Linked DNA regions of Pelodiscus sinensis. The protein of the gene in region 1 interacts with the protein of each later gene in a pairwise test. Links are inferred from orthologs where the notes say so. Each region holds a gene or a part of one and is shown on either strand. Other genes may lie near its edges.

Evidence for each region.
Region 2: the proteins of CCDC172 (region 1) and FAM13C interact in binary tests that used the Homo sapiens proteins (3 or more experiments, as listed by UniProt). The two-hybrid records come from large-scale screens. The link is inferred for Pelodiscus sinensis from reciprocal best matches to the Homo sapiens genes CCDC172 and FAM13C.

The regions. Positions count from the first base shown.
Region 1 is NC_134718.1:61,627,068-61,643,256, forward strand, and holds the start of CCDC172 (coiled-coil domain-containing protein 172), read right to left. Parts: upstream 7,507-16,189; 5' UTR 7,378-7,506; coding exon 7,299-7,377; intron 636-7,298; coding exon 550-635; intron 1-549.
Region 2 is NC_134718.1:21,954,915-21,971,509, forward strand, and holds the start of FAM13C (protein FAM13C), read right to left. Parts: upstream 6,317-16,595; 5' UTR 6,239-6,316; coding exon 6,213-6,238; intron 2,425-6,212; coding exon 2,386-2,424; intron 1-2,385.

The DNA.
Region 1 (16,189 bases):
ATTCTATATATTTTTGCTAGTCTTTGAGTTAACCCTTTGCCACAGGGCTACTTGTATGCATGTGTGAAACTGCAGAATCAAGATCTCAGTTTGTAACTAGTGAATATTTGTAAACAATTTTGTGGATTGTTTTTTTTCTCTAACATACCTTAATCTAATTTAGGGTTTTCTTTCGCACCCATCACAGTAGCACCGAAGTACATATATAGAACATATAAACTTGCAATCCACAGAGCAGCCAATGTTTTTGGAGAGATAGGTATCACCACCAAATCATTATTTCCTTTCATCAAATGAATAAGTGTTGATAAAAATAGGAGTCTGGCAGTAAAAGTTAAAGGGGGCATGATGCATAATCCGCAGGTAGCAAGTGTTCAGATGCTACGGTGATGAGCACTCTAGACATACATACATTAGACAATCACTATGACAATGAATATAAACACTGCATGATGTATACTGCTTCAAAATGTACATAAACAATATATTAAAATTACAGCCCATTTACCTGTAATAATAATTGACATAGCATAAATATTACTACTCTACCTTAGTGTCTAATTTTATTTTTGCTTCATTCAGCTCTTCTTTTATTTCCTTAATTTTTTCATGACTTCTGTTTATGTCTAATTTAACTGCAATAAAAAAATGAACCTTCAGTCACATTAAATCAACTTTTGAAAGTGAGATTCTGTTAAAAAAATTGCTGCAGGCAAGATAGAGTGGTGTAGACTGGGGCGGGCTGAATCCAGTCTGCCGAGCCACTGGATCCAACCTGTGGGCTGTCCGATCTGGCCCACAGGCTGTCCTGCCGGGATCCTCAGGCACAGAGCAGCCCATGCCACTTTAAGTGCTTGCTCTGCCCTGTGGCTCTCTGGTCTGGTCACCATGAGGGAGGGGGAGGCTTCATGGAAAGCAGTCAATGGGAGCTGAGAGATTTTTCTGGGGGGGAAGGGGAGCGGGTGCGAAGTCTTCTCCTCCCCTCAGTGCCCAGAGTAGAGAGCTACAGGGAGCAGTCAACCATTTTGAACAGCCTGCAGCTATGGAAGACAGGGAGCTTGCCTCAGGATCCTGCAGGGCTGCTGGCTGGGAGGTGCTTAGGTAAGCGCCTCCCAGCGACAGCCTGCTGCTGGCTTCTCCAAAATCCTGCCCCAGGTTACCAATCCCGCTCCTGCTCCAGATCATCATCCAAACCCTCTGCATCGCCCTCCCCTATGTCACAATTCCCTCCGAAACCTTGCACCCTTTCCTACAACCCTCCCCCAGGCCAGAATCCTCTCCTTCATCCATACTCCGTCCCAGACCCTACAACTCAAATCCCTGCCTTAGATTACAACCCCCTCCTTCACCCTAACTCCCTCTCAAACTCCACACTCTCTCCTGCACCCCAAGCTTCTTTCTGCACTCAATGCCCATCCCAGATGCCACACCTCCTCCATAGAAAAGTGCAGCCCTTGCCCACTTACAAAAATCTTGGATTCCCCGCCCCCCCCATCAAAAATGATTGTGCACTGCTGGTGTAAACAGATGATTTCAATAGAGACATGTACAGGCAGTCCCCGAGTTACGCGGATCCGACTTATGTCGGATCCGCAGTTACGAACGGGGTTCCTCTTCCTGGTCTCCAGCAGACCAGGGAGAGGAAGCAAAGCGGCGGAACATGTGGGCAGCGGACAGGGCTGTCCGCTGCCCACGCGCTCCGAGGCTTGACTTGGCTTTGCCCCCCCCCCCCGTCCCCCTGGTCTGCAGACCAGGGGGACGGGGGGGGCAAAGCAGAGCCAAGCCGCGGAGCGCGCGATCAGCTGACAGCCCAGACGCGTCTGGGCTGTCAGATGGCCGGGCGCTCCGCAGCTTGGCTCTGCTTTGCCCCCCCCTCCCCCGTCCCCCTGGTCTGCAGACCAGGGGAAGGGGGGGGGCAAAGCAGAGCCAAGCCGCGGAGCGCGTGGTCAGCTGACAGCCCAGACGCGTCTGGGCTGTCAGCTGGCAGCGCGCTCCGCGGCTTGGCTCTGCTTTGCCCCCCCCCCAACACCCTGGTCTGCAGACCAGGAGGAGGGGGGGGGGGCAAAGCAGAGCAAAGCCGCGGAGCGCGCTGCCAGCTGACAGCCCAGACGCATCTGGGCTGTCCCGCTGCCCCCGTGCTCCGTGGCTTTGCTCCAGACACCTGTGGTACAGCAGCTGGGGAGCTGCCAGTTGGTCCCGTAGCGCCGCTCTGGGCGCTACTGGACCAACCGGGCAGCACCCCAGCTGTTCTGCCCCAGGCGTCCTTATTCAGCCACTGCTGGTCAGATTCAGCAGCGGCTGAATCAGGACGCCTGGGGCAGAGCAGCTTGGGTGCTGCTGGGTTGGTCCAGTAGCGCCGAGGAGCGGCGGCGCTACTGGACCAACCCAGCAGCACCCCAGCTGCTCTGCCCCAGGCGTCCCCAAGTCAGCCGCTGCTGAAACTGACCAGTGGCTGACTACAGGAAGCCCCTGCCCCAGGCTTCCTGGAATCAGCCGCTGATCAGTTTCAGCAGCAGCTGACTTGGGGATGCCTGGGGTTCTTAAGTTGAATCTGTATGTAAGTCGGAACTGGCGTCCAGATTCAGCCGCTGTTGAAACTGATCAGTTTCAGCAGCGGCTGAATCTGGACGCCAGTTCCGACTTACATACAGATTCAACTTAAGAACAAACCTACAGTCCCTATCTTGTACGTAACCCGGGGACTGCCTGTAATTGCTAGACTTCTAATCACATGGATTTGCCTGTAACAGTTACAGTCACTGTCAGCAGTTACTTTAAAGTGATCGACCTTCTTTTGTGAACAAACAGTATCTAATTACTATTTTCATGTGGACAAGCATGGCATCTGCATAGATAATTCAGATAGCAGGCTTTGAAAATTTGATTTAAAGTAAGGGTCATCTGTTATGCTGTATAGTAAGTACCTTGTTGATACTTTGATTACACCATGACTTACTTTTTAAAATAAGTAGCAGGGTGACAAAATACTGGGGTTCTGTTTCTATACAGTAATTCCTCATTTAACACGTGCCCGCTTAACATGTTTTTGCGATAGCACAATTTTTTTTTTTAGGGAACATTTTTTGAATTACACGACCGTCCCTGGAATAACACGATTCCCCCAGCCGCCCTATTGCTGGCGGCTGCGTGGGGCTTCCCCCGACTCCCTGCAAAGCGGTGGAGGGTTCGCTGCACCGTTCCCTGCTGACTCCCCCTTACTGGACGCCTTGCCCCCTCTCCTCTGCCCCCACTGGCAGGCCAGCGGCTGGGTTTCCCCAGCCAGCCCATTGCCAGTGGCTGCGTGGGGCTTCCCCTGCCTCCGTGCAAAGTGGCGGAGGGTTCGCTGCTTACATGCCATTTCCTGGCAACCCCCCCTTGCCAGACACAGTGTGGTTCCTGGCAGACCCATCACAGGGGCATACTCCCAACCCAATCCCCCTCCCCTCTCATTCCCCAGAGCCAAACACCTCCCCTCCCTGCTGTAACACAGTCCCCTGTCTCCCACAACCTTATGCCCCGGTCCCAACAGACACCACCGCTTGAAACGCAACCCCCACCTTTTCCATTATTTTCAATGGAAAAATTGACCCCGCATAACACGTTTTCACTTAATACGATCATTTACTGAAACATATCTATAGTGTTAAATGAGGAATTACTGTATCTTCTAAAGTGTTTTTTCTGTGTTATCCTGGACAAGCTTCCTTAAAGTTCCCACTGCACTCAGGAAACTACATGTCCTGAAAGCAGATTTTGTAAAGTTCAAACTATAGGTCTAGACCAGGGGTGGGGGTCTTCTGGCATCCTGGCTGCACTGCTGCTTGCCGCTCCCAGTCACCATGGTTCACCTGCCTCAGCCAATTGTGGCTGCAGAAAGTGGTATGAGCTGGGCCACCATTCCCTGAAGCTCCTGTTGGCCAGGGACAATGAATTGTGGCCACTGGGAGCTGCAGGGCTCTATGCCTGCAGATGCTCAGGTAAACAAGCCATCTGGAGACCTGCCAGCAGCTATCCCTGACAAACTGCATGCAGCCTGTGGCTGGAGGTTCCCCACCCCTGGTCTGGACTGCAGGATTGCCAGAATCAAGCATTCAAAAATTCATGATTTAGCCACCCCCAATATTATGAAGTCGGTTTGAAAATCAGCAAATGGTTAATAAAAATAATGGACCTTTTTTATTTGCCTTCTGAGTCTTGGGGTTTGTTTTTCATGTTTCTACCATGCGGGGTGGGGAGGGAAAGGGTGGGGAGGAAAACACACACACACACACACACTCACTCTGACTTGTAATAACAACATGATTCCAAGAATTGGGGCTTTAGGAATAACAACAAATATTGTCAAGTATCAGAGGAGTAGCCGTGTTAGTCTGAATCTGCAAAAGCGTTGAGGAGTCCTGTGGCACCTTATAGACTAACTGAAGTGTTGGAGCATAAGCTTTCGTGTCAACACAATCAACTCTGGATTAAACAAAGACTGTGAATGGCTTGCTAACTACAAAAGCAGTTTCTCCTCTCTTGGAATTCACACCCAACAGTTCAGCTACTAGAAGTGGGCCTCATCCTCCCTGATTGGATCAACCTTGTCATCTCCAGCCTGATTCTGGCCTGCATATTTATACCTGCCTCTGGAAATTTCCACTACATGTATCTGACGAAGTGGGTCTTTGCCTACGTAAGCTTATGCTCCAACACTTCAGTTAGTCAATAAGGTGCCACAGGACTCCTCACCGCTTTAACAAATATTGTGAGTCTCGTGAAAAATAATTATGTGTTGGTAAGGCTGTGTGAGAGAATGATCCAAGCCTGATCTGCTGTATTCCTTCACGGGAGAAGAGTGATAGGCTCTTCCAAAGCCAACCCACGTGTGTCTATTGTAGGACTGCCCCAAATCCATATCGAATTCACTATAATGATTGAAAGAGGAATCTTTGCTCTTTTATGAAAATGATCCCACTGTATATTCTCCTTTGCTTGTAGAGTGTCTAGGTAGTATCGACAACCTTGCTATTGTCAAGGGAGGATTTTGCTCCGACTGATTTTTAATGCTTCTTCTAGCCTTGTTCTGTTTATATTGATAACCTTTCATAATATTTGATGACAGTGACATTTCAGCATAACCTCTCAGTGATTATATCTGAACAATAACAATTCCACCTGCTGAGCATCAGACACAAGCCAGGGTTAACTGCTATATATGCAGGTCAGACAGAGACTTTTAGGGACATGACAGTAAAACTAAAGGCCCAGAGGCATGAACCTTGATGTGGTTATGCAAAACCCATAGGGTTATATAAGTGAATATCAATACTGGACAGCTTTCTGGAAGATATAGCTTATCAATCTGTAGAGGCAGGGCCTGAGGTGCGGAAGGCAGGAACTCAAGTTATTGGTCTCAATACAGGAGTAACAGGGTAAATTGGTGGCCTGGCTAGGCCAGGTCTGGCTAGATCAGTGTTTCTCAACCAATGGTATGAGTACCCTTATGGGTACTCGAGAGAAGTCTGGGGCGTACATCAACACAAATGAAATTTGGAGAAAATTGAATTTTTGTTTTAAGTTTTACAGTGCTTTATTATTTTTGTACTTTTTACACCCAAAAATGTCATCGCCCATTCGGCTATGATTAAGCTGTTTAAACAAAGGTGTTGCAATGGTAGAAAAAAATGTTGTGTGTCTGAAAATTGTAGGTACTGGGGGTATTTATAATTTTTTTTTCAAAAAAGGGGGTACTTATAATTATTATTTTTTTAAAAAAGGGGTACTTTATAAAATAAAGGTTGAGAAACACAGGTCTAGACTAGGGGTCTCAAACTCATGGCCCATGGGCCATCTGCAGCCCAAGCTGTTCCACAATTTGCCCTATGCACAGCTGCTGGCACATGAGTCCCTGTGGCCATCTGGGTGGTGCAGCTCTTCCCCCAAGTCCAGCCCTTGCTCCACCTCCATCCCACCTCTTTCCAGCCCTGCTCTGCTCTTTTCCCTCCCATCTTAACTCTTCCCTCAAGTACCCTTCCCCAAGGGATGCAGCCTCAAGCATTACTAGTAGGCCTGCTGTGGGGCAGCAGTAGTGGCCTCCTTCCACCCCTCCCCACTGTACTCACTGCAGTGGTGGGAGCTGCAGGGAAGCAGAGTGATGTAGCTGCATCTACTCTGCTCTGTCACCATTTCCCAGGGCAACCCGGTCACTCTGCTTCACTATGGCAGTGGGAAGTACAGCATCCCAGCCCCAGTGCAGGGTGGCTTGGGAGAGGGAGGTGGAGCAGACCAGTCTGCTTCCTTGCTCTGTTTCCCTGCAGCTCCTGCCACTGTGATGAGTGTGGGATGGCCCGACTCCTCCTTCAAGCTCCAGCCTGTCCAGGGTCCCACAGACTACCTTGAATATGAGGGACCCCCTCTCATCCATAGGACGGCTTGGGAAGCCACTATGGCACCCCATGAAGTGCGAGGCTTGGGGTGGCCATCCCAAACCATCCTATGGATGGCGTGGTGCTGCACACACCTCCCCATGGCCATATGGCAGTGGCAGAGAGCTAGCAGACAGAAGACACACTAGCCCCTGTGCTACCAGTGGTGACACTGGGGACTTCTGCGGGCGTTAAATTACCAGGGGATGGCAGGGGGAGGGGGAGCATGCAGGCCGGCAGGCAGGGCCAGGAGACACTTGGCGGGGATGTATGGAAATGCCCAGCCCATTTCCCCAGAGCCCTGCCAGAGGGGGATACCTGTTGTACTGGCACTGACCCTAAGGTAACCCAATTGGACTACACTCTCTGAAGGTCGCTTCTGGCCTTACAATCTAGGGGTATGTCTAGACTACATGGCTCCATCGACAGAGCCATGTAGATGAGTTCACTAGACATAGGAAAATGAAGTGGCGATTTAAATAATAAGCCTTTGTCGACCGCTCCGGTAAACCTCGTTCCACAAGGCATAACGGAGCAGTCGACAAAGGCTTCCGTTGTCAACGGCGGAGCATCCAGACTACCGCACTGTGCCGCCAAACTCAGTGCGGCGGCCATTTTGATGTAAATGAAACGGCGATTATTTAAATCGCCGCTTCATTTTCCTATGTCTAGTGAACTCATCTACATGGCTCTGTTGACGGAGCCATGTAGTCTAGACATACCCTAGGAGTCTAAAACTCCAGGGGAAAGGCTCAGTCAGCCTTTACTGACCTTGCTGCCCTTGAAAACACCACCCCTACTGCCACTCAGGGCTTTTTGGGCGTCATGTGGCCACAGGCACCTGTGGCCGTCCCCCTGCACCAGGCACAAGATGGCGGCCGTGTGGCTGACCTTGGTGCATGAGGCGCCGCTTCTCTTCCGCTTGCTGCTCCGTGAGGAGGATTTGCTGGAACAGGGAGTCCAGGCTCATTTCTGTCTCTTGGGGGGGCAGGGCTTGGGGTTATTTTCTCATCCCTGGGGGGATTATTCACCACTTCAGAGGGCCCCTCACACAGGGTTTAGGGAGCCCTTCCCTGAGCCTGCCTGACTCCTCCCCCTTTAGCAGTGGCCTTGTGCCCGGTCCCTCCCACCTCCCTCACCTGTCCCTGCCTGGCTGCCTCAGTTCCTGTCTCCCGACTGGTGGCTGGAGAAACAGCCCCTCAGGAGCAGTTTCTGGAGCTAAGGAGGAGCCTCACAGCCAGCACATCAGATGGGGAAGCCTGAAGTTAGAGGAGAAGGACGAAGGTGGGTTGAGGGGTGGGAAAAGAGAAGCTCAGCGGTAGAGGTGGTTGGAAAGGGGAGACTGGTGGTTGTAAAGAGGGAGAAGGTAAAGTAGGGGTTGGATGGAAAGACAGTGGTAGATAGCGGGGGTCTTGTGGTGGAGACATTTGTATATGCATCTGCAAGAGAACTTCTTGTATGTGACACTCAGCAGTTGATTTTACATTTGTAGTTCACTTTTGTATCTGAAGTATGCAGAAATGTGCCCACTATAAGCCAGATTCATTCTTGGTGTAACTCCAAAGACTGAAGTAACACTGGAGTGAGCTTTTGCCCCGTAGGCAAAAGAATGTAATAGTTTTTAAGCACTGAACTATAAAAGATTAAGCACAGAGTGTGGGCTTTGTGTTCAAGAGACTGATTTGTCTTTTAGAGTTTTGGCATGGTTTTCTATTTCACATTAACGTGTTTATTAGCTCTGGAGAAAATCAACTTAGTACCAGAAGCTCATTAATCTGAATATACATTTTTTAATTAGTGTGGTTAGTTCTCTTAACTCTAATAAAACTTTTCAAACTTAGGCGGTGTCTAGGCAGTAAGGTAGTATTATTTTTAAGTACGGTGAAAAATTAACTTTGTTTCCTTAAGTGGTTCTGCTATCTGACAACAGGCTTGTTTGGCTTCAACTGACATTTGGCATCTCTGAATAGAGAAATAAGCAGCAGTTGCAGGGAATCTGCTGCCAGATGTCCCGTAATACCAGACCTCCCAACAGAGGGTTGAAGGAGAGGTGATTCAAAGGGGCTTAGGGAGCCACTGCTGTACTTGGAGCTTGAGCCCTTTAAATTGCTGCCTGAGCAGTGCGCAGTGCACTCTGGGTGCTTTGGTCTGTGTGGCATTGAGGCCCTGCTGCCCTCAACCCCGTCCCTTCTGCCTTAGGCCCTGCTCTTTCTGGGAGCGCATTGCTGTCCCCCTCCTTCTTTACCCAGGAGCCAGGCATGGATGTTGGCTCCGCCTAGTACAGCAATAGGATCCAGATTCTGGTATGACTGGAGAGCTACTACAAGGAGAATGGTTGTTGAGAATTGGTTTAGGCTAAGTAGTTGCTGGCAGAGCATTCGTACAGTAGAACCTGAGTTAGGTTGTTTGTAACTCTGAACAAAGTGTTATGGTTGTTCTTTCAAAAGTTTACAGCTAAATATTAACTTAATATAGCTTTGAAATGTGCAGGAAAAAAACACTGCTGTTAACCATTTTCCTTTAAATTAAATAAGCACAGAAACAGTTTTCTTACCTTGCCAAATCTTTATTTTCCCTTTATTGTTTTTAGTAGTTCACACTTAACAGTACAGTGCAATATTGTTTTTGTCTGCACTACTGTTTGATTGCATACTCTTGGTTCCAGGTGACGTCTGTGGTTGTCCAGTCAGTTCATAACTCTGGTGGTTGTAACTTTGAGATTCTACTGTATTTGTATGAGGCAGGTAGAAAGGAGGAAAGATTTGAAGGAAGCTTTGTGTTTGTTTTTTTTTAAAGAAGCATTCCAACTGAGGAGAAGTTTCTGAGCAGAGAAGTGTAAGTAGGAAGCAGACACTCACCAGGACCTAAATAGGGAAACAAAACCTCAGGACTGAAAGTGAATGAACTAGCTAGCCTGAAGCAAGGGCAAAAATAATGTAAATTGTCAAAGATGAATTGATTCTAAAGCAGTAAATCTTCTGAGTCAAAGAACATGTAACATAAGAACAACTATATTGGGTAAGACAAAAGGGGCATCTAGGTCAATATTGTGTCTGATGACAGTGGATAATGCCAGGGGCTTCAAAGAAATGAACAGAACAGGTAATCATCAAGTGTGCCACACTGATGAGAACCGGCTGTGGAGTTTGTCCATTGTTGTTAGGTAATCATTTCTATTTTAGCTCATAATTTATGTTAACATTATATCTTCTTAAATCGTACAAAAAGTGGTTTGACCCTTCTAGCTATAATATCCCCTATTAGCTTTATGAATAACTCTTTATTGCAAACAGTAAAGTAGGCAGATTTGTGTTTGTATCATGGTTATTTTAAAGTAACTGTCTAGTCAACAGGTGCTTCAAAAGATTAAACTATTTGTGCATATTGGGAATAAAGTCTCACATTTTTCAGTTTAGGAAGTACTCAGATGTTCTGTGTCTAGATAAATGTTGATTCTCTTGCATGTACATTTCATTTACATATGAACCAATATTTAACACGTCACCATCTCTACTGTTCCTCTTGTATATTTGTTATAAAACATGTTCGTTTGCTTACTATCACTGTTTGCATTATTCATGTCTATGTATTGTTTTATTGTAGGAGTGTGAATTGCTTCCAGTAGCAGCTAGGGGGCTCTATTGGTTCACTTTTTGAGATAAACAACAGAATGACATAAGTAGGCTCTGTTACTTGTTTGCTTATATAGGAATTCCAATGTAAAAATAACATGTATTTAAGATACATGCCTTTGTACAGGACTAGGATTTTTACATTTTTTAAATTTCTCTCTCAAAGTAGCTTTATATTTTCTTCTGATATTTATTACCCCCTATTTCTGACTTCTGGTGCAGTGTTTCAGTATTGAAATTCAGAACCAGCTGATGCGTATTAATGGGGTTTGTTCTATGATGGTCACTGAAGAACACAGCAACTTGTGTAGTTATCTGGACAGATAATATTTAAAACAGAGCATTTTTTATTATTGCAGCTCAGGATTACTCAACACGCTGCCTGCGGGCCACATGTAGCCCGCGGCCAGTTTATTTGCAGCCTGAAATATGGTTTGGGTTTACATGGGGCTCAACACATGGCCCACGGGGAGGATTCTTTGAACATGGCCTCCCTGGGAATACGCTCCACAACGGCAAGGCATCTCCCAGGCGGGGTGAGCATTGAAAGACTCAATCAGACGGACTGGCTGGAACAGATGGGTGCAGGGTATTGGAGTTTCTAGCCCCCAGAGCAGAGGTGTCCGGAACACCGAGGCATTGTGGGACGTGCTGGCTGCTTAGCCTTGTGGGAAAAGCCTGAGAGGTGCTGACTGACTTATACTGGCCATATTTGGGTCCAGCGCCCCTGCTTAAGCTTAATCTTTGTATTCAAGCCTGTCAGTGTGAAAGAAGCTATTTGCATATATTTACAGGTAAATGTGCATATATATGCAACCACATTTAAGTTGCGGCCCTCCGGGGCTTTAAAAGTTGAGTAGCCCTGTTGTAGCTGGTAACTGTGGAAAAAATATTGGGTAAACAAAAGCTCACTTTAAAAAATTGTTCTGGGAATTCATAAACCATGCAGGCTTGATTAAAGGAGAGAAAAAAAAACACTGAAATGGAGGCTCCTGAAGCTTAATCTTCTCTATACTCTCTGATGGTTCAGGGGGGAGGGGAATAATGGAAGGAGAAGGATATGGCATTTAATGGTAATACAGTACTTTAAATTAGTCCTTGTGCTCCTTTTGTCCTCTGGCACTTGTTGAAACACTAAGCCTACTGAAATTACAGTCCAGTATAAATGCCATCTTGTTCCAGACGCCAAAAGCTCATTCAAAGCTTAATAAATTCCTCAAAATTGATTTTTGGGGGGCTTGTGCAGGTTTTTGTTGTTTGAAGGATGGATAGCATTGTTATTTAATTTGGCATTTACAAAGGCTAAATGCCTTGGGCCAAATCTTTGACTTATCTAAGCAACTACTTATATTGACTTCTTGGGATGAAGATAAATTCTGGACAAATAAAGCAACTTAAACTTGTCCTCCCCAATGATTTCTTAATTTTGTCTCTTCTTCTCAGTCTCTTTCATGCAGTTGGAAGAAAAGAGCCCATCAAAGTACTGCTATTTGCTGGATCCTTTCCCATTAGTCTTTTGTTCCCATTCTCTGTAACTCATTAGTTTGATATCAGATTCACTCCACCTGTTCTTTCCCAGAATTACATTACTCTTTTTCCCAAAATACTTCCATTCAGCAGTTCCATCAGATCTACACTTAATAACTTTATATTTCTCATGGCTCAGTGGCTTTGACTTCAGCATTTTCATTCAAGTTCACTCTGTGAAATGAGTCTATGGCAAGGATGATAAACATGTGGCCTGCAGGCTGGATGCAGCCCAGTCAATGTATTAATTCCGTCCCCACATCAATTTACCATTCCATTGTCATTGTGGACTGCTGCCAGCAATAGCAATTGACACAGCACTACAGCAGATGGAAGCTGGCTGCAAAGCAATACTGATGAGTATTTCGGACAGTTTAATTTTGCAGATGAATTTGGTGTAAAATGACATTCCCTTACCAACAGATGGGGATGCAGAAGGAAAGCCATCAGGATTCTGCATGGAACAAGTACAGAACATGCCTTTTATGTTTGTAACACTGACCACTGATTCCACTGAAAATGTCATTTGGCCCTCAGGACAGAATGAGTTTGATATCTCTTACCTATTGAGTGCACCCACTCCAGCTTCATGCAATAAGGTGAGTCTAACCTGAAAACAAGAAAGCTAGTAAATTGTGACAGGTTTCTTTTCCTAGGCTAATTTTGAAAATTTTCTGAAGCTTCCCTTTTACAGTGATAAGGGGACTATGTTTTATCTTACTGACAGTCATTGTTCATTTGTTAAAAGAAAAATATCCTTTTGATGCAAATAAAAAATGTTTATCAAATGCTTGGATTTTTTTTTTAAATTATGCATGTTTGAAAGGTACAAACTGAATTAAAAGCTTCACTTCGTTTTACTACTTGATAAAAAATATCAGCCACTGCTGACATAGGTAGGTAAAAAATAGCAGAAAATGAAGTACCACCAGCAATGCCAGCAGTCTGAGCTGCAAACAGAGAACAGAATCTTGGCAGGAAAATGGGATGGAAACAGAGGCAAGGTCCCTTGATTCACCTCAACGGGTCTGTTTGCGGGGTGGAGGATGGAGTAGGCACAGCCAGAAAAATCAGGAGATCACATGACCCCCAATATTTTTTCTTTGGGTGGAAAAATGACACACAAATTTGCTTGCTCACGCCAGGCACTAAATACTTACATCTCTGCTAACAGTCTACCATCGTTGAGGACTGAGAAGCAGTGGGCCCATCTTCTGGGAAGCTGAAGTTCACAGTGAGTTTTGTGTCTGCTTTGTATTTCAGGGGACACAATCCACATCTTAAAAAGCAGCATTACAATTAGCATTGTTGTGGTCAGTCTCCACAGGCACAGAATAAACATAGAGTCTGTCTAATTACTGAATTGACACAGTCGACTAGTTCTAGATTCTAGTTCACCAGTGTAAATCTGGAGTAAGTCCACTGAAGTCAGCAGTACAATTGAGAGCAGAGTGTAACCAGGGGATTGGATTTTCCCCTCATTTCTAAAGGTTGTTTCCCCAGAGCAATATTTTAAGCATGTTAAGGGAGAGAACCTTCTGCTTCAACTGCCTTGCCCATCCCATCCCTGTTCTGTAGAGAATGAGACAATCACTGTCTAGTGTGTTCAGTCTGGTACATAAGCAATAAGAAAAAAAAGTGATTTGAAAACATGATTTGTTGCAGTGTATATTTAAACAATACTAATAAGACATAACAGGCACTTCATTTCCATAGAGCTGCATACTTCGTTTGCCTTATGAGGCATGAGACGAATGCACAGGCAACTTCAGGTATCCAAGAAATACAGTACTATCCTACAAAAGGTCCTATAATACCTGCCCTGCCTGACTGCTAGTAAGAAATGAAAATCAGTTCAAAACCAACAAGGTACAATGAGGTCAGACTCACTGCCATGGCACATCCTCCTGGTCTCCTTGGGAATTAGCTCTTCACTCTCAGAGTGCCCCCTGTTGAGCAGTGTCTCATCCTCCATTATCTGTCTTCAGTTACAGCAGGCCCCATGTTCCTCCTGGCCCACAGTGCCGTTCCCTCACGATACTGCTCTGTGGCAGTGCCCCTGCACTCTGGGGTCTTCCCCTCCCAGGGAACCCCAAACCCCCATATCCACCTTGCCTCAATGACCCACTGCCAGTCATTATCTAACCCCTGCCCCACGGGCAGGGTTGCCAGATAGTGTAACCAAAAATACCCTCCGCCCCCCAAAAAAAACCCACCAGGGAAAAAATTCTGTTGAGGGGGAAAAAAAGGCGGAGACCAAAGTTGTTGAGCAAACAAAAAATGAAAAAATGAAACAGCATTAAAACAGCTTTAAGTGCATGCAGAGTCAGAGTAGGGATAGCAAGAATGGAGCGGTTGAGCACTAAGACCCAAGGAAGGCATTGCTTCCCCTTCCTTCAGTTCTTTAGGCTTTTTGCCAGTGGCCATTTTGTTTTCTTGATGGAGACTGAACGCAGCTTCCCTGCGGAACCGGGGGGGGGGGGGGGGGGCAGGAGAGAGGGTTGGGGGCTGGGCCCAGTTGCCGAGTGTGTTGTAAGGTTGCTAGGTATCTGGTATTTTCGCCTCCTGGCTGGGAAAAAAAATCAGAAAATACTGGACATTTCAGTAGCCTGGTATTTTCTGAATTTTTTTACCAAACAGGAGGCGAAAATATCGGACTGTCCAGGTCAATACCGGACACCTGGCAACCCTTCCCAGGGGTAAACTACAGTATGAAATGGCCACTCATCCTTGGCAAAGGATGGACTCGCAGCCTTCTGCTTCCCTGGCTATCTCACTGCAGCCCCAATACTCTCAGGCCTTGAGAGCAATGCCTCAGCCTGAGAGTTTGCCTGCTCTTCCCCAGCACTAGTCTGTCTCAGGAAGCCTCTGTAATTTCCCTAGCAGCCAGGTCCCTCCTGCTCTACTCCAAGAGCATTCTCTCTGCCACTCCAGGAGCCCCTATTTATAGAGTCCCAGCTGGGCCCTATTTGGCTGCTATATGCTTTAGATGGTTGCTCTGCAGGCCCAGCCCTTTCTGAGGGCTGAATTTAATTCTTGGTAGGGCCAATGTGGGGCAGACACCTGGTCTGTCTAAGGACAGAATTAAGTCAACAATGATAAATAAGAGCTCTAGGGCTGTGTCTACATTGGCGTGATCTTGTGCAAAAGCAGTCACTTATGCACAAAAACTTGCTGCCTGTCTACACTGGCTGTGAGTTCTTGCGCAAGAACACTGACGTTCTAATGTATGAAATCAGTGCTTCTTGTGCAAGAATTATGATGCTCCCACTGAGGAATAAGCCCTCTTGCTCAACTGTTCTTTTGCAAGAGGCCAGTGTAGACAGGCAACATGAATTTCTTGCGCAAGAAAACACTATGGTTAAAATGGCCATCAGAGCTTTCTTGAGCAAGAGAGCATCTACACTGGCATGGATGCTCTTGTGCAAAAGCACATCTCTTGCACAAAGGCACATGATAGTGTAGACGCTCTCTTCTGGAAGAGTTTTTGCACAAGAACTCTTCCGCAAAAGAGTTCTTGTGCAAAATCATGCCAGTGTAGATGTAGCCTAGGTGTAGAAGGAATTAAAAAACTATTCAATCATTTCTGGGAGAGTGCAGAAATACTTGTAATTTGCAATTTTTTTTTTATATCAGCTGTCCTATCACAGTGTACATGAAGGGGAGCAGGTAGATATACAGAAAAACCTTTATTTAGTACTATGGCTTATGCCTTAACAGATTTGAGCATTTAAATCTGAGGAGGTAATGGGATTTTAACTTTTTTTTGCCAATATCATGTGAAAGAAAAGAACACTACTTAGAGAATGTCTGTAGAACTTTGAACACACACAGTCCTGATTGGTTTTCATCTCTTCTCAAAAAAGATATATTGGCATTGGAAAAGGTTCAAAGAAGGGCAACAAAAATAATTAGGGGTTTGGAACGGATCCCATATGAAGAGAGATTAAAAAGACTTGGACTTTTCATCGTAGAAAAGAGGACACTAAGTGGGGATATGATAGAGGTCTATAAAATCATAACTGGTGTCGAAAAAGTGAATAAGGAAGGGTTATTTACTTATTCCCACAATATAAGAACTAGGGGTCACCAAATGAAATTAATAGGCAGCAGGTTTAAAACAAACAAAAGGAAGTTGTTCTTCACTCAGCGCACAGTCAGCCTGTGGAACTCCTTGCCAGAGGATGTGGTGAAGAGTAGGACTTCAACAGGGATCAAAAAGAGTTGGATAGATTCATGGAGGTTAGGTCCATCAATGGCTATTAGGCAGGAAGGGTAGGAATGGTGTCTACCCTCCTTTTGTCTGGAAATGGATGACAGGAGAGGGATCATGTAACAAATACCTAATCTATTCACTCCCTCTAGGGCATCTGGTATTGGCCAGTGTTGGCAGACAGGATACTGGGTTAGATGGACCTTTGGTCTGACCCAGTATATTTTTATGTTTTTGAGGCTTTCATAATCAGGTCAATGATGTGCTATATCTAACATTTAACATTATTGTCAAATATCAATTCAATCTCATAGTAGTTGCAACTAAAAAAGTATTCCCTGGAGGATCATTGTACTCAGACCCTTATCCACAAAGGCATTTATGGCACTTAACAAACATTGAAATCAATG
Region 2 (16,595 bases), about 40 Mb from region 1:
GAAGTGCACAGTATGAACAGTTTGTAGTGACGTCAATAGGAGCTGTGTGTTTTCAGCACCCCTGATACTTTTATTTCAGTGGCTAACTAAGGATAACAACTAACTTTAGCACCCTTGTTTGACAATTTGAGCCCAAACAGGGCTTTTCAAACATTTTTCTAGCCCCCAGCATTTATAAACCTATTAAAATAAGGAGAAAGCCAAATTCAGTGTGAAAACATGGTTCTGTTCCTGATGTGCAGCTAGCAAACTTCTCACATGCCCCACAGGATGAGGGATATCCCATTTCTCAGAGGACTTTGGACCAAGGATCTGCAATTACACTCTCTGCCAACTACTGCTGGGCTACGTCTACACTGGCATGAATTTCCGGAACTGCTTAAAACGGAATACTATTCCGTTTTCAGTTTTTCCAGAAAAGGAGCGTCTACATTGGCAGGCTGCTTTTCCGGAAAATCCCTTTTTCTGGAAAAGCGTCTGTGGCCAATGTAGATGCGCTTTTCCAGAAAAGAGCCCCAATTGCCATTTTCGCGATCGGGGCTTTTTTCCGGAAAAGACTACTGGGCTGTCTACACTGGCCCTTTTCCAGAACAGTGTTCCGGAATAAGGACTTATGCCGGAGTAGGAGCAGAATAGTTTTTCCGGAATAGCGGTTGATTTTGTACAGTATAGCATCGTTGCTTTTCCGGAAATTCAAGGGCCAGTGTAGACAGCTCGAAAAGCGGCTGATTTTCCGGAATAAGTGGCCCAGTGTAGACACAGCCCTGCAATGACTTCTAGGCACATATTCTGCCCCTCCTTTTCCCTACTGGCAGTGCTAGCACTATAAGGGCCCTCTGCAATGCTTCCCCTCCTGTCCTTAGAGTGACAAACTTAAAAAACAACAAAAGGTCCAGTAGCGTGACAGGAAGCCTGGCAGAGAAAGCCCCGCACCACTGGCCCTAGCAATACAACCAAGGGAAAGGCAGGGATGAGCACAGATCTGGCAGGAGAAACTCCAGTGAGGCTGAGGAAGAGAAAGGAACCAACGAGGGACTGAGGTTGGGAAGGAGAGGGAAAAGTATTAAAAATGTGATGTCTTACTATGCACCTCATTTGTAAAATCCCACATTTTGTCCTTCATTTTAGATCCCATCGCCCACAATACAGCATTAAAGGCGGAGCTGTATAGTGGCAAAGCTAATGAAAAATAATAAAATCATTTTCTGTTTTTTTTTTGTATTTAATTTCATGCTGGTTACTGTAGCACTCCAAAACCAGGGACAAAATTAATAGATGAAGCAAAGTAGGAGAAGTATATAGGAGGTTAAAAGGTGTTTGGAATCCCAGAGAAATATTCCATCCATTTTCCATTTGCAGTTTGACAGAACGTTTGGATTGCTCATACTGAGCTACAACCTAGACTGCTTTCAGAGTACATAATTTTCCCTGCAATACTTTAGCAAACAGTTCACAATCAACTTAGGCTTTTTATTCCTAGCATTTCAGCAATGTGAAATGTAATTTATACGGAAACTAATCTTAAAACATCTCCCTTTTGACAAGCACTGGCCAAAATTCAGCTGAGCAGTCTTCTAAAATATAATCCAGTGTGTGAAATTTTGGAGATAAAACACCTATGAAACACAGACACAATCATGATATGTAATTTTCAGAGCCAAAGAGAGCTGTACTGATGTCAATAAATAATGTAGAATAGTCACATCTGAAATTAAAGCATGTTTCTCTAGTCTAAAGGAAACCAGAAGTATATTCCATTTTTAAATTGTTAGTGGCATCCCAGTGTTTGTAACTTTACAATGTTTTCTACTGTTCTGCTATCTGTTCATCTTAAGATAAAAAGGCAAAACATATTTATTTAAAATCAAGTGGGCAAAAGTCCTGGTAAAAAGTTGTACCGCTTTAATTGCAGAGGGAAACTGCATTCGGGTACTGATCCTGTCTAAATAATATAGTATTTTGCTCAAAATATTCTTAAAGATTTTTTTTCTGCCAGTGCTGACAGTAAGAATAGAATATGTGCTCTTAGGAAAATGACACATTAGCTTGTCATGATCATCAATAAAAAGAATTAGCAACATTTTCTCATTAGATGTACAATACAATCATATGTTCAAACACATTTAGATATATATAAAGCAGAAAGCAGCAACAAAGATATTCTTTCATGATGCTACTCCATTGCTCATGGTTAACTATACATAAATATTGCTGTTACATCATATTCAGCATATTTTCAATAAAATAGTAAAACCACAGAGTGCATCATAAAATGTTACAGAAAGCTTTTTTATTTTTGAAATAGCATCGGAAAATATTCTCTGCACCGTTTAACACATCATTCTTATTTAATGGTAAAGGTATGTATTTAAAGTATTCACTTACTCTGCTAAAGCTGTACTGTTGAAGGAATGATCCTGAATGCTGAAACAGAAACAAGAAAACATCAGATACTCAATAAATCAGTCTCTCTAAAAGCTTTTCAGTTGCTGGAACACAAACACAAACATGGCATTGCAAGGCAAATCTCTGTGTTAGCTCTACATACACATACCGTACGCTGGGCTGCTCTGCACATGCTCATAATCAAAGAACCATGGGGATTAGCCCTGCAACTCTCACAACCACAAAGCCTATCCAGCAGTGCTTTCAATATATGAACACAGGAAACCAGGAGATTCTCAAAAATGGGTGACACACCTTTGCAGTTACAACTATATTGTTAAATAACAACTGGAGCTTCTAGCACATCGAGCCAAGTGTTTGGCATTCAGATTCTTTAAACATTTGAGTATTCACAATTTACTTAATATGTGCTATGCTGTATTTACTACTTGAAATAGAGATGATCAATTAAGGTTCTCATGAGACTTTTCTTCAGTTGTCTCTCACAGATTATGCTGATAGCACAAACTCCAAGGGAAGCTGTGAAAAAAAAATTAATTTGAATTGGAAGGAAGGGCTGCTAAATTAGCAAAGAATTTTTAAATGAGCAGCAAAGAAATTGCTTCTGTAAAATCCAAAATAATCCTGTAGTACAGTGTTGGCAAATCTAGCTTTATAAATCTATAAAGGGTCAAATAAGGATACAATCAAATATGCTGATACTGAGATAGTCCGGAGTTCCCTGTCTACTTGCAAATGAAGAATCTAGTAAATAGACTGCTAGATCATCTGACAATAGAAGAAAATATTCCTGCTGCTACATGTTTTCCCAAAGAATGGAGTATTCTGAGCATTCTTGATGTGTGTGACAATGGCACTGCATAAACTACAGCAAGAAACCAAGCAGAGATTCGGAGGCGGGGCATCCTATCCACTGAAGCAGCCTGTGCTAGAATGGTGTAAGAGCAGAGTTCAAGCATCCTTAGCGTGAATCTAAAGTCACACCACGACAAGGCAGTTAGAATACCCCTCCCCTCAGACAACATTGACATTGTCTCTTATTCTTGTCTCTCCTGAGCTCACTCACACTATGCATACTGTTCTGTAGATTCAAACTTGAAGAAGGAACCATTGTGATCATCTCATCTGACATTTGGCATGTCACAGGCAACAGAATCTCACCCACCCACTCCTGTCATAGGCTTTGTCTAGATTGCAGGCTTCTTTCAGAAGAAGCTTTTCTGGAAGAGATCTTTCGGAAAAAATTCCTCTGAAAGAGAGCGTCTACACCGCAAAAGCGCATCGAAAAAGTGAAAGAGAGTGTCCAGACTGAATGGACTATATCCCACATTTCAACTGTGATTACTATCAATGGAGCGGCCACCAGGACACTTAAATTTTTTCCTCTTTCCTCTTCTTTCAAAAGAACTCTCTCTTCCTCATCCACACATGCCTTTTTCCAAAAGAGCTCTTGTTGGAAAAACCCCTCTGTTCTTTTGATTTTTTTTAAGAATGTGATTGCAGCATGGACGTAAGTGAAGTTTTTCCAAAAAAACTCTGCAGTGTAGACATACCCATAAATGCCTGACCTCTAGCTGAGTTACTGAAGTCCTCAAAAAATGCTCTAAAGACTTCAAATGACAGAAAATCAACTATTTACACCAGCTCAAAGTAGTAGTGACCCATGCCTCAGTGCCGGAGGAAGGCAAATTAAACCTAGGGTCCCTTCTAATCTGACCTGGGTGAAAATTCCTTCCTGACCTTATACAAAGTGATTAATTAGACTTTGAGGGTAGAGGTGAGACCCAGCAGCCAGACACCTGGAAAGGAATCCTCTTCATAAACTCAGAGCTTCACTGTCTAGTGTCCCATCTCGGGCTACTGGGGAGATATCTGCTACCAGCAGTTGCAGATAGTCCATGTGACATTACAGGCAATCTCATCACACCATCCCCTCTCCATACTTCCCAGATGCAGCTTTGAAACCAGTTAGGCTTTGTGAACCCACTGCTCCCCATAGAAGGCTATTCCAGGACATCACCCTTTGACCGGTGGTTGTGCAGGTGATGTCGCCGAGGTTACGTCCACACTAGCTCGATAGTTCGAGCTAGGTAGGGTAATTAAGCAAGCGGAGTGGCAAATGAAGCCTGGGATTTAAATATCCCGGGCTTCATTTGCATGTTCCCGGGCGCCGTCATTTTTAAATCCCCCTTAGTCCGAACTCCGTGCCCGCAGCACGGAGTAGGTAGTTCGAATTAAAGATCCTAATTCGAACTACTGTTACTGACCAATCTGATTAGCTTCTATGATGAGGTAACTGGCTCTGTGGACAAGGGAAAGTCCACAGTGGATGTGATATATCTTGACTTTAGCAAGGCTTTTGATACGGTCTCCCACAATATTCTTGCCAGCAAGTTAAGGGAATGTGGATTGGAGAAATGGATGGTAAGATGGATAGAAAGCTGGCTAGAAGGCCGGGCCCAGTGGGTAGTGATCAACGGCTCAATGTCAGGATGGCGGTCGGTTTCTACAGGAGTGCCTCAAGGTTTGGTTCTAGGACCGGTTTTGTTCAATATCTTTATTAATGAGTTGGATGAGGGGATGGATTGCACCCTCAGCAAGTTTGCAGATGACACTAAGCTAGGGGGAGAGATAGGGTCCAGAGTGACTTAGACAAATTGGAGGATTGGGCCACAAGAAATCTGATGAGGTTCAACAAGGACAAGCACAGAGTCCTGCACTTGGGACAGAAGAATCCCAAGCATTGTTACAGGCTGGGACCAACCAGCTAAGTAGTAGTTCTGCAGAAAAGGACCTGGGGGTTATAGTGGATGAGAAGCTGGATATGAGTCAACAGTGTGCCCTTGTAGCCAAGAAGGCTAATGGCATATTAAGTTGCATTCAGAGGAGCATTGCCAGCATATCCAAAGATGTCATTATTCCCCTTTATTCCGCTCTGGTGAGGCCATATCTGGAGTATTGTGTCCATTTCTGGGCCCCCCACTACAAAAAGAATGTGGATGCATTGGAGAGGGTCCAGCGGAGGGAAACCAAAATGATTAGGGGGCTGGAGCATATGACTTATGAGGAGAGGCTGAGGGACTTGGGTCTGTTTAGTCTACAGAAGTGAAGAGTGAGGGGGGATTTGATAGCAGCCTTCAACTTCCTGAAGGGAGGTTCCAAAGATGATGGAGAAAGGCTGTTCTAGTAGTAAAAGATGGCAGAACAAGGAGCAATGGTCTCAAGGTGTGGTGGGAGAGGTCCAGGTTGGATATTAGGAAGAACTATTTCACTAGGGCTATGTGTACATTGGCATCCCTTTCCGGAAAAGGGATGCTATTGAGACACTTCGGAATTGCAAATCCGCGGGGGATTTAAATATACCCCGCGGCATTTGCATTTCTATGGCTGCTGCTTTTTTCCAGCTTGGGGTTTTTGCCGGAGAAAAGAGCCAGTGTAGACGCGATTTTCCGGAAAATAAGCCCTTTTCCGGAAGATCCCTTATTCCTACTTGAAAGTAGGAATAGCAAAAATTTATAGCAAAAAAAAGTTTATAGCAAAAATTCTTGTCATAAGTACCTAAGTGCATGACCTCACACACATCATTAAATGTAATTCCAATTTTCATGATCTTGACTATATCATACTAGCTATAACATTGTATCATCTGAAAATGTTATTAGTGCACATTCACACCAAGATCATTAATGAAAATGTTAAATAAGACCTGTCCCAAGATAGAGACCTGAGGAACTCCATTAGCCTGACATTTCACTTTTTTTAGTATGACCCTTTGTAGTCTCCCATTCAACTAGTTCCTTATCCACCTTTCAATTTTCATACTAATCCCCATTTTCTTTCATTTAACTCATCATATCCCATGTGGAACTGTATCAAATATCTTATTGACATCCAGATAACTTCGATCTACTGCGCAGCTGCAGGAATGTGGACTCTGCACCCAGAAGTTCCATAGCTATTACATGTCACCCCAAATCGGCATTATGATGCAATCCAACCAATCAATGCTCATTTTTTAGTTCCAGAACCTGTACTCCATCATCTGTAGCTGTTCCATGCACTCAACCAATAACCTTGAATTGGTCACTACATCCCACAGCAATCTGGACTCCAAGAAATCAGCATGTTCCCTGGTGATTCTGTTCTTCCTACTGCACTGCAAATAATGGAGGATTATGCATTCTGTGTTTGCAACTTTTTCCACAGTAGGGCAAAGATGTTCAGGCTAGATGTTTCTAGTACTGATGGCAGATAGCAAGGGGGTTCCTAGGATTTTTTTAAAATTATGTAATAGAACTGACATTATAGGATGGGTACAACTGCATGCTGGAAAGTTGACTGCTTACTCCCAATCACTTCTCATGGTTCATTTCTTCCCCCTCCTCATATCCATCCCTAGGCATTACCAAAAATTCCTAAAAGACAGTGAGCTGGCAGCTTGCACATGGGAATACTTACCATTGTATCTGCTCTGCATCGACACAAGCACTCTTGGGACATGTGTACACTAAGAAACTATTTTTAAATAACTAAATTCAACTTAACTCCAAATTTTACAAAATCAAAATAGCTTGTCTCCACTACAGAGAAGCCTCAAAATTAGTCTGAGGCAGGCACCATTAATGAGGACATACTACCTTGACTTGGAGCCCAGGAACCACTGGCGAGTAATTAGTTTGAATTACCCTGGGGAGTAGTTATTTCAAAATAGTGGCACCAGAGTGTTCACACTACCACTATTTTGAAATAACTATTTTGAAATTAGCATTATTCCTGAGGAAAGCAGGACTGCAGACTTTGAAATAAGCAATAACACAATTTTTGAAATTACAGGCTTGGTAGGGTGGATGGTCCATTTATAAATTCAACAGAAGGGGGTGTTATTTTGAAATAAAGCGCTAGTGTAGACCAGGGCTTGGAGAGTACATAGTGCCAGTTCAAGGAACCAAGTATGCGTGAGCTCAAGTGATAAACTAACTGGGGCTATATGTCACTATAACTTGTGTTGACTGAAGTCTACAATGCAGACATGGCCTTCGATGACTAATCACTAAAGTGTTATGACTCATGATTAAATCACAAGGCTCATGGCATTTGGATGTTTTCTTAAGGACCCCAGATATTGGAATTAAGGAGTTGCAAAAGGGTCTCAGCTTTAATTTTTTTAAAGTTGGTTTCTAGGCCACTTGTTTCTAGAGAAAAGTTTGAAAATGTGAAGCAACTGTGTCCTTAAGCTAGTGCTGTAAGATGCCAAACTGAGTCGCAAAAGGCAAATAAAAAAAATAAAATGCAATATTTTAAAAATCTAATTTAAAATAAATAATCCCAATTCTCAGGCTAATCTGTTGGTGTTTGGAGGCTTGACTCTTGATTTTTGCCTTGGTGCTGACAGTACTGCTGGTATTTGAACCATAATTCAATAGGGGAGCCATTACTTAATGGACACCATGTTGCATCAATAAGAGAAAAGCCTTGGGTGAGCTGAAAAATCAGATCAAAGTACTTCTCATACATGCTGAAAATGTCTTATAACTTGAGAGAATGAGCACAGAATGGTCTGGTAAGAATAACCTCTGCATTCTTACACACGCATGAGGATGATTGCTGGCTACTTCACAATCTCTGTAAATCCACTGAAATAAAATGCTACTATTTAGGGTAGAATTTGGCCTTAATATGGAGCTCTGAGCAATATTCACAAGGGCTACGTCTACACTGGCCCCTAATTCCGGAAAGTCATGCAAAGCAGGTAAGTCAGAATAGGGAAATCCGCGGGGGATTTAAATATCCCCCAAGGGATTTAAATAAACATGTCCGCCGCTTTTTTTCCGGCTTTGGGAAAAGCCGGAAAAAAGCATCTAGACTGGCGCGATCCTCCGGAATAAAGCCCTTTTCCGGAGGATCTCTTATTCCTACTTGAAAGTATCCCTCCTACTTGAAAGTAGGAATAAGAGATCCTCCGGAAAAGGGCTTTATTCCGGAGGATCGCGCCAGTCTAGATGCTTTTTTCCGGCTTTTCCCCAAGCCGGAAAAAAAGTGGCGGACATGTTTATTTAAATCCGCGGGGGATATTTAAATCCCTCGCGGATTTCCCTATTCTGACTTACCTGCTTTGCATGACTTTTCCGGAATTAGGGGCCAGTGTAGATGTAGCCAAGAAGCATAGTATTCACAGGAATTAGGAGGGGGAAAATCCATGTCTTGAAAGGCACCATCAAACTGTTTAAATTAATCATGTTAATGTTAATGTCAAACGCCTATGATTAAATCACTTTCTATTTTTCATTTGTTTATGACTCATTTGCATGCTTAATTTCATTTTTTTTTTTGGCTGATGATACTTTTAGTCACTGTTTCTGGACAGACTCTCCATGCCAAAAGCAGTACTGTAAAAATAATTTGGCATTGTTTTGTTTAAAACAGAGCCACATTAATAAATACACAGAAGAGAAGACATGCTATAAAGTGGGTGCACAACTGGTTGGAAAACGATACGCAGAGAGCAATTATCAATGGTTCACAGTCAAGCTGGAAGGGCATATCAAGTGTGCTCTGATAGTGATCTGTCTTGGGTCCAATTGTATGCAATATCTTCAGAAATGATTCAGATAGTGGCATAAAAAGTATGTGTTCAAACTTTCTGGAGGATACCAAGCTGGTAGGGGTTGCAAATGTTTTCAAAGATGGGATTATAATTCAAAATGATCTTGACCAATGTTTCTCAACCTTTTTTTTTATAAAGTACCCTTTTTACAAAATAAATCATAAATAAATACCCCCAATACCTACAGTTTTCAGACACACACAATTTTTTTTCCACCATTGCAACACATTTGTTTATACCACTTAATTGTAGCTGGGCAGGCGATGAAATTTTTGGGAATAAAAAGTACAAAAATAATAAAGTGCTGTACAACTTAAAACAAAAATTCAGTTTTCTCAAAATTTCAGTTGTTTTCATGTATCCCTCCGCCCCCTCTCCTCCCCCGACTTCTCTTGAGTACCTCTAAGGGTACCCGTACCACTGGTTGAGAAACACTGATCCTGATAAACTGGAGAAATGGTCTGAAATAAATAGGATGACATTCAATAAGGATAAATGTAAAGTACTACACTTGAGAAGGAATAATCAATTAGACAAATACAAATGCAAATGACTGTCCAGAAAAACGTACTGCAGAACCTGGGGATTCTAGTGGATCACAAAGTAAATATAAGTCAACAAAATAACAATGTGCCAAAAAAAAGCTCACACTGTTCTGGGATGCAGAACTGTTTGTAAGCAAGATATAAAAAGTATTTTTTTCACTCTATTCAAGGCCTTAACTCGAGTATTATGTCCAGTCTAGGAAACACACCTTGGCTACGTCTAGACTGGCTCCTTCTCCGGAAGAGGCATGCAAAGCAGGCAAGTCAGAATAGGGAAATCCGCGGGGGATTTAAATATCCCCCGAGGGATTTAAATAAACATTCCTTGCAAGTAGGAATAAGAGATCCTCCGGAAAAGGGCTTTATTCCGGAGGATCGTGCCAGTCTAGACGCTCTTTTCCGGCTTTTCCCCAAGCCGGAAAAAAAGCGGTGGCCATGTTTATTTAAATCCCTTGGGGGATATTTAAATCCCCCGCGGATTTCCCTATTCTGACTTGCCTGCTTTGCATGCCTCTTCTGGAGAAGGGGCCAGTCTAGATGTAGCCCACGAGAAAAACTTGGACAAGTTCGAGAAATGATTAAAAAGATCTAGAACACAGGGCCTAAAAACAGATTGAAAAAACTCGGTTTGCTTAGTTGGGAGAAAAGGGAAGACCAATGGGAAATGGTGGCATGATAACAGTCCTCAAGTCTTAAAAGTTGTTATAAAAAGGAGGGGGATATATTGTCCTTTAGCTCCACTGAGGACTGGACAATGCTTCATTTGCAATGAAAGAGGTTCCAGTGCTTGAGCAAATTATTTACATTCATTACTGATGCAAAACCCAGAAGTGCTGGGGCTTAAAATTGTCAAGCCTAGAGGTTTCAAAGCCCAGTGCTGTCAAGTCCTGGACTGAATTAAGCACTTGGTTAGACAAACAACTGTCAGGGATGGTCTAGATAATGCTTAGGTTTGCTTTAGTGCAGGGGCCTAGACAAGGGGCATGACTACATTAGGAAATAATATTGAAATAATTAAAATAGAAATAACTCCCGAAATAACAAAATTAAAATAACGCATCCACACTATGGGGGAGCATCAAAATAGCTCAGAAGTATTTCAGAACAGTGCGCCTATACTGATTGGAGCCTGCCACAGACGTGGAGCCCCCAGAAGCACTCTGGGGAGTGCAACAGAAGAGCGGATGCTTCCTGTGGCTGCTGGGTCAGGCAAGCTGAGACACATACTTTTAAGGGCTCCTTTCTACAGCCCCATTTCACATCCCTCTGCTCCTCTGCCACCTTCTCATGGGACACCAAACTCATGTGGTGTGCTCTGGTTGCCCTTGCAGATGCCACAGCACCGACAACAGCACTGACAAAGCAGTGCCAGGCTCACAGGCCTCGTGCTGTGCCTCATGGCATAGTTCATCTAGACTGCCCACGTGCCGCTCCAACAGGATGACTACCAGCCTCACCTGTTCACCCAGGTCCTGGTGCTCCTACTGCTACAAATGACCCTCAATCCCCTGCACACAACAGAATGCCACTTCTGGCAGTGGGAGAGAAGTTCCAACTGATGGGACCACATCATCCTGCAGTGATGGGATGACAAGCAGCAGCTCCAGAACTTCTGTATGAAGAAGACCACTTCCTGGAGCTCTGCAAGTGGCTCGCCCCTACCCTCAGGTGACAGAACACCTGACTGACCCACCATCCCCCTGCAGAACCGCGTCGCCATCGCCCTGTGGAAGCTCACCACACCAGACACCTACCACTTTGACAGGAACCAGTTGTGTGTGGGGAAATCCATAGTTGGGGCCATATTCCTGCAGGTAGCCAAGGCCATCAATAATGTGGCACTGCAGAGGATTGTTTGCACAATGTCAACACCATCGTCAATGGCTTTGCTGCCATGGGCTTTTCCAACTGTGGGGACAGGGGAGGCATAGGCAGCACTCATATTCCCATCCTGGCCCTTGACCACCATGCCTCGGACTATGTCAACAGGAAGGGGTACTTTCTGATGGTGCTGCAGGCCCTGGTGGACCACAAGGGTCAGTTAACAGACATCAGTGTTGAGCATTTGGGGAAAGCGTATGATGCTTGCATCTTCCGGGCTCCCAGTCCCACATTTCTAGATTCTAATGAAAACTGGATTGCTAATTGAGTCATGGCTAGAGTTCGGGTTGGACTGGTAATGCTGCACTGTCCACAGGCACTGCTGTAGAAAGGGACTAATTCATGGGTTCACAATTCCTTCCCTGTTCACCCCTTGTTCCTGGATGGAAATAACTAATCTCCACCTTCCCACTGGTCTTGGCTCTCTGCTGACTCTATCCATTTCTCTGGGCCTTCCACCCATTTGCTCTGGGAAGAAGCATACCAGGCACACAGCTCTTGTTCTTCTTCCCTTTCCCCCTCCTAACGGAAATCTCAAGAAGGGGAACACTAACATGACCACCTAAAACATCAGGGACTTTATTCTCCACTAGACCCTTCTACGGCCAGTCACAATCTTACCCATACGTCCCAATTTTCAGTATATAAAATTGAACTGTTTTGGTCTGAAATGTTACATACAGTGATATTCAGGCTATGTTTACACTGCAGGTTTTTGTGCAAGAAGTATTTTGCAGAAGAGTTCTGGCGCAAAAACTGCTTGCACAAAAGCATGTCCACACCTCATGGACCTTTTACTCCTTTTGTGCAAGAGAGCATCCACACTGCATGGACGCTCTTGCGCAAGAAAGCTCTGAAGGCCATTCACAGATTGGCCATCAGAGCACCTGTGCTTTTTCGGATAGGCTCATTTTGAGCAAGAAACTCCTGTGGAGCGTCCACACATGCCTTTTTGTGCAAGAGCTGTAGCTCAAAAAGGAGTTATGCCTTGTAGAAGGAAGTATACCTACGCCGCAAAAAGCCCTCTGTTCTGTCGATTGACTGTAGATTTTCTTGTGTAAAAATGCACTTGTGGGTTTTTGTGCAAAAACCTTGTAGTGTAGACGTAGCCATAGTGTATTAAAAATCTCAGTGTCAGGTATATTTCACTGCAACATATAAAAAAGCCCCGGTACCTCTCATCATTCTCAAGTCTGAGAAAAGGTACTGCCCCTATATATGCAGATCAGAATTTAAGCACAGAATTAAAGACTTGAATTTTAATAACTTCAACTTTAAAAGTAATTAAAATTCATCTTGTTAACTGCAAGTAGCATTTTGTCTGTGTTTCATTCCTTTCAGGCTCTAGACAAATTTCTACACTCCATATATTTTTGTCAAATCATAGAATCATAGAATATTACGACTGGAAGGGACCTTGAGAGATCATTGAGTCCACTCCCCTGCTCTCATGGCAGGACCAAATATTGACTAGACCATCCCTGATAGACATTTATGTAACCTACTCTTAAATATCTCCAGAGATGGAGATTCCACAACCTCCCTGGGCAATTTATTCCAGTGTTTGACCACTCTGACAGTTAGGAACTTTTTCCTAATGTCCAACCTAAACCACTCTTCCTACAGTATAAGCCCATTGCTTCTTGTTCTATCCTCAGAGGCCAAGATGAACAAGTTTTCTCCCTTATCCTCATGACACCCTTTTAGATACCTGAAAACTGCTATCATGTCCCCCTTCAGTCTTTTCTTTTCTAAACTAAACAAACCCAATTCTTTCAGCCTTCCTTCTTTAGCCTTTTAATCATTATTGTTGCTCTTCTCTGGACCCTCTCTAGGGGTATGTCTACACTACAAAGTTAATTCGAACTAACAGATGTTAGTTCAAATTAACATTGATAGGCGCTACACATGCAAACCGCTAGTTCGAACTTAATTCGAACTAGCGGAGCGCTTAATTCGAACTAGGTAAACCTCATTCTACGAGGACTAACGCCTAGTTCGAATTAATTAGTTCGAATTAAGGGCTGTGTAGCCACTTAATTCGAACTAGTGGGAGGCTAGCCCTCCCCAGCTTTCCTTGGTGGCCACTCTGGGCACCACCAGGGAGACTCGTCTGCCCCCTTCCCGGCCCCGGAGCCCTTAAAGGGGCACGGTCTGGCTAAGGTACCCGTGCCAGGTGCAAGCCTGGCCACCCGCGGCCACCCAGCCCTCCGCCTCTTCCTGGGACCAGGCTGGTGGCTCCTGGGAGCCTGCCCAGGTCCGTAAGAGGTGGGCGCCTGCCTGGTCTAGTGCAGACATTGTGGACCTCATCCACGACCACTGCACTAGGCACAGGAAAGTGGCTGTCTAGGGCAGGACAGCTGCCAACCTGGTCACCCAGGAGCAGGTATGCATGAAAATCAAGGTGGTCCACTGAGACCACCAACCCTGAGCCCTGAGCTTAGAATGGCCATACTGGGTCAGACCAAAGGTCCATCTAGCCCAGTAGCCTGTCTACCAACAGCGGCCAACACTAGGTACCCTGGAGGGGATGGACCGAAGACAATTACCAAGCCATTTGTCTCGTGCCATCCATCTCCAGCCTTCCACAAACAGAGGCCAGGGACACCATTTCTACCCCCTGGCTAATACCACTCCATGGAACCAACCTCCATCACTTTATCTCACTTCTCTTTAAACTCTGTTCTAATTCTAGCCTTCACAGCCTCCTGCAGCAAGGAGTTCCACAGGTTGACTATTTGCTTTGTGAAGAACAACTTTCTGTTATTAGTTTGAAGCCTGCTACCCATTCATTTCATTTGGTGTCCTTTAGTCCTTATATTATGGGAACTAATGAAGAACTTTTCTTTATGCACCCTCTCCACACCACTCATGCTTTTATAGACCTCTATCATATCCCCCCTCAGTCTCCTCTTTTTTAAGCTGAGAAGTCCCAGTCTCTTTAGCCTCTCTTCATATGGGACCTGTTCCAAACCCCTGATCATTTTAGTTGCCCTCCCCTCTCCCACCCTCTCTCTTCCCCTCTCCCATCTCCTTTTCCCAGTCTCCCCAAGTTTTGTTCAAGAAAGAGAGTTTCTATTTTTGAACACACGTGTCCTTTATTTTGTACATCAGGAAGGGGGGCTAGGGAGGGGTAAGTGGAAGGAGGTGAGGGAGGAATGGGGTTCGAGCCCCTGATGGGGAGGACTGGGCTGGCTCTGCGGGCTCCTCAGGGTGGAAGCTCTCCTGCAGCCCCTTGATTGACCCCCCCCCTCCGGATGGCAGCCTGCGGCAAGTGCAGCCGGGCTGATGGCCGAGTGCTGTGATGTGCCGAGTGTGGGCACTCAGAGCACTCCAAGCCAGGACTGCTTTGCTAGTGGGGAACCCTTGAGAACTGTCTGTCCAGGGTGGGGGTCGGGTCCCTTTAAGCACAGCCCTCAACTAGCCTGAGACCACAGCTCCACGCTCTAAGTCCTAATCTGATGCCCTGCCGGCACTGCTTCCGGCCATCCTTAACCTCTGTTCAGGGTCCACTTAGTGTGGACATGCTAGTTCGAATTAGCAAAATGCTAATTCGAACTACTTTTTAAGTCTAGATGCGCTAATTTGAATTAGCTTAGTTCAAATTAACTAATTCGAACTAAGTTACTTCGAATTAGTGCTGTAGTGTAGACATACCCTAATTTCTCCACATCTTTCTTGAAATGTGGTGCCCAGAACTGGACACAATACTCCAAATGAGGCCTAACCAGTGCAGAGTAGAGCGGAAGAATGACTTCTCATGTCTTGCTCACAACACACCTGTTAATGCATCCCAGAATCATGTTTGCTTGTTTTGCAACAGCATCACACTGTTGACTCATATTTAACTTGTGGTCCACTATTACTCCTAGATCCCTTTCTGCCATACTCCTTCCTAGACAGTCGCTTCCCATTCTGTATGTGTGAAACTGAGTGTTCCTTCCTAAGTGGAGTACTTTGCATTTGTCTTTATTAAACTTCATCCTGTTTACCTCAGACCATTTCTCCAATTTGTCCAGATCATTTTTGAATTATGACCCTATCCTCCAGAGCAGTTGCAACCCCTACCAGCATGGTATCATCTGCATACTTAATAAGAGTACTTTCTATGCTAATATCTAAATCGTTGATTAAGATATTGAACAGAGCCGATCTCAAAACAAACCCCTGCGAAACCCCACTTGTTATACCTTTCCAGCAGGATTGAGAACCATTAATAACTATTCTCTGGGAGTATGTCTACACTAGCCCCTTAGTTCGAACTAGGGAAGCTAATGTAGGCATTCGAACTTGCAAATGAAGCCCAGGATTTAAATATCCCGGGCTTTTTTTGCATGTTCCCGTCTAGTCGCCATTTTTAAATCCTACTAGTCCGGATTAACTGCCCACGGGAATGAGGTGTAACAGTTAATTCGAACTAAGGACTTAGTTCGAATTAACGTTTGACTGCCGCGTGTAGCCACGGGCAGGTAGTCCAGACTAGTGGGATTTAAAAATGGCAACCAGATGGGAACATGCAAATAAAACCTGGGATGTTTAAATCCCGGGCTTCATTTGCAAATTTGAATGCCTACATTAGCCTTCCTAGTTCGAACTAGGGGGCTAGTATAGACATACCCTGAGTACAGTTATCCAGCCAGTTATGCACCCACCTTATAGTATCCCCATCTAAGCTGTATTTGCCTAGTTTATTGATAAGAATATCATGTCTTACTAAAGTCTAGGTATACCACATCCACCACTTCTCCCTTATCCACAAGACTCATTATCCTATCAAAGAAAGCTATCAGATTGGTTTGACACTATTTGTTTTTTTACAAATCCATGCTGGCTGTTCCCTATCACCTTACTACCTTCCAAGTGTTTACAGATGATTTCCTTAATTACTTGCTCCATTATCTTCCCTGGCACAGAAGTTAAACTAACTGGTCTGTAGTTTCCTGGGTTGTTCTTGTTTCCCTTTTTATAGATGAGCACTATATTAGCCCTTTTCCAGTCTTCTGGAATCTCTCCTGTCTCCCATGACTTTCCAAAGATGATAGCTAGAGGCTCAGATACCTCCTCTATCAGCTCCTTGAGTATTCTAGGATGCATTTCATCAGGCCCTGGTGACTTGCAGGCATCTAACTTTTCTAGGTGATTTTTAACTTGTTCTTTTT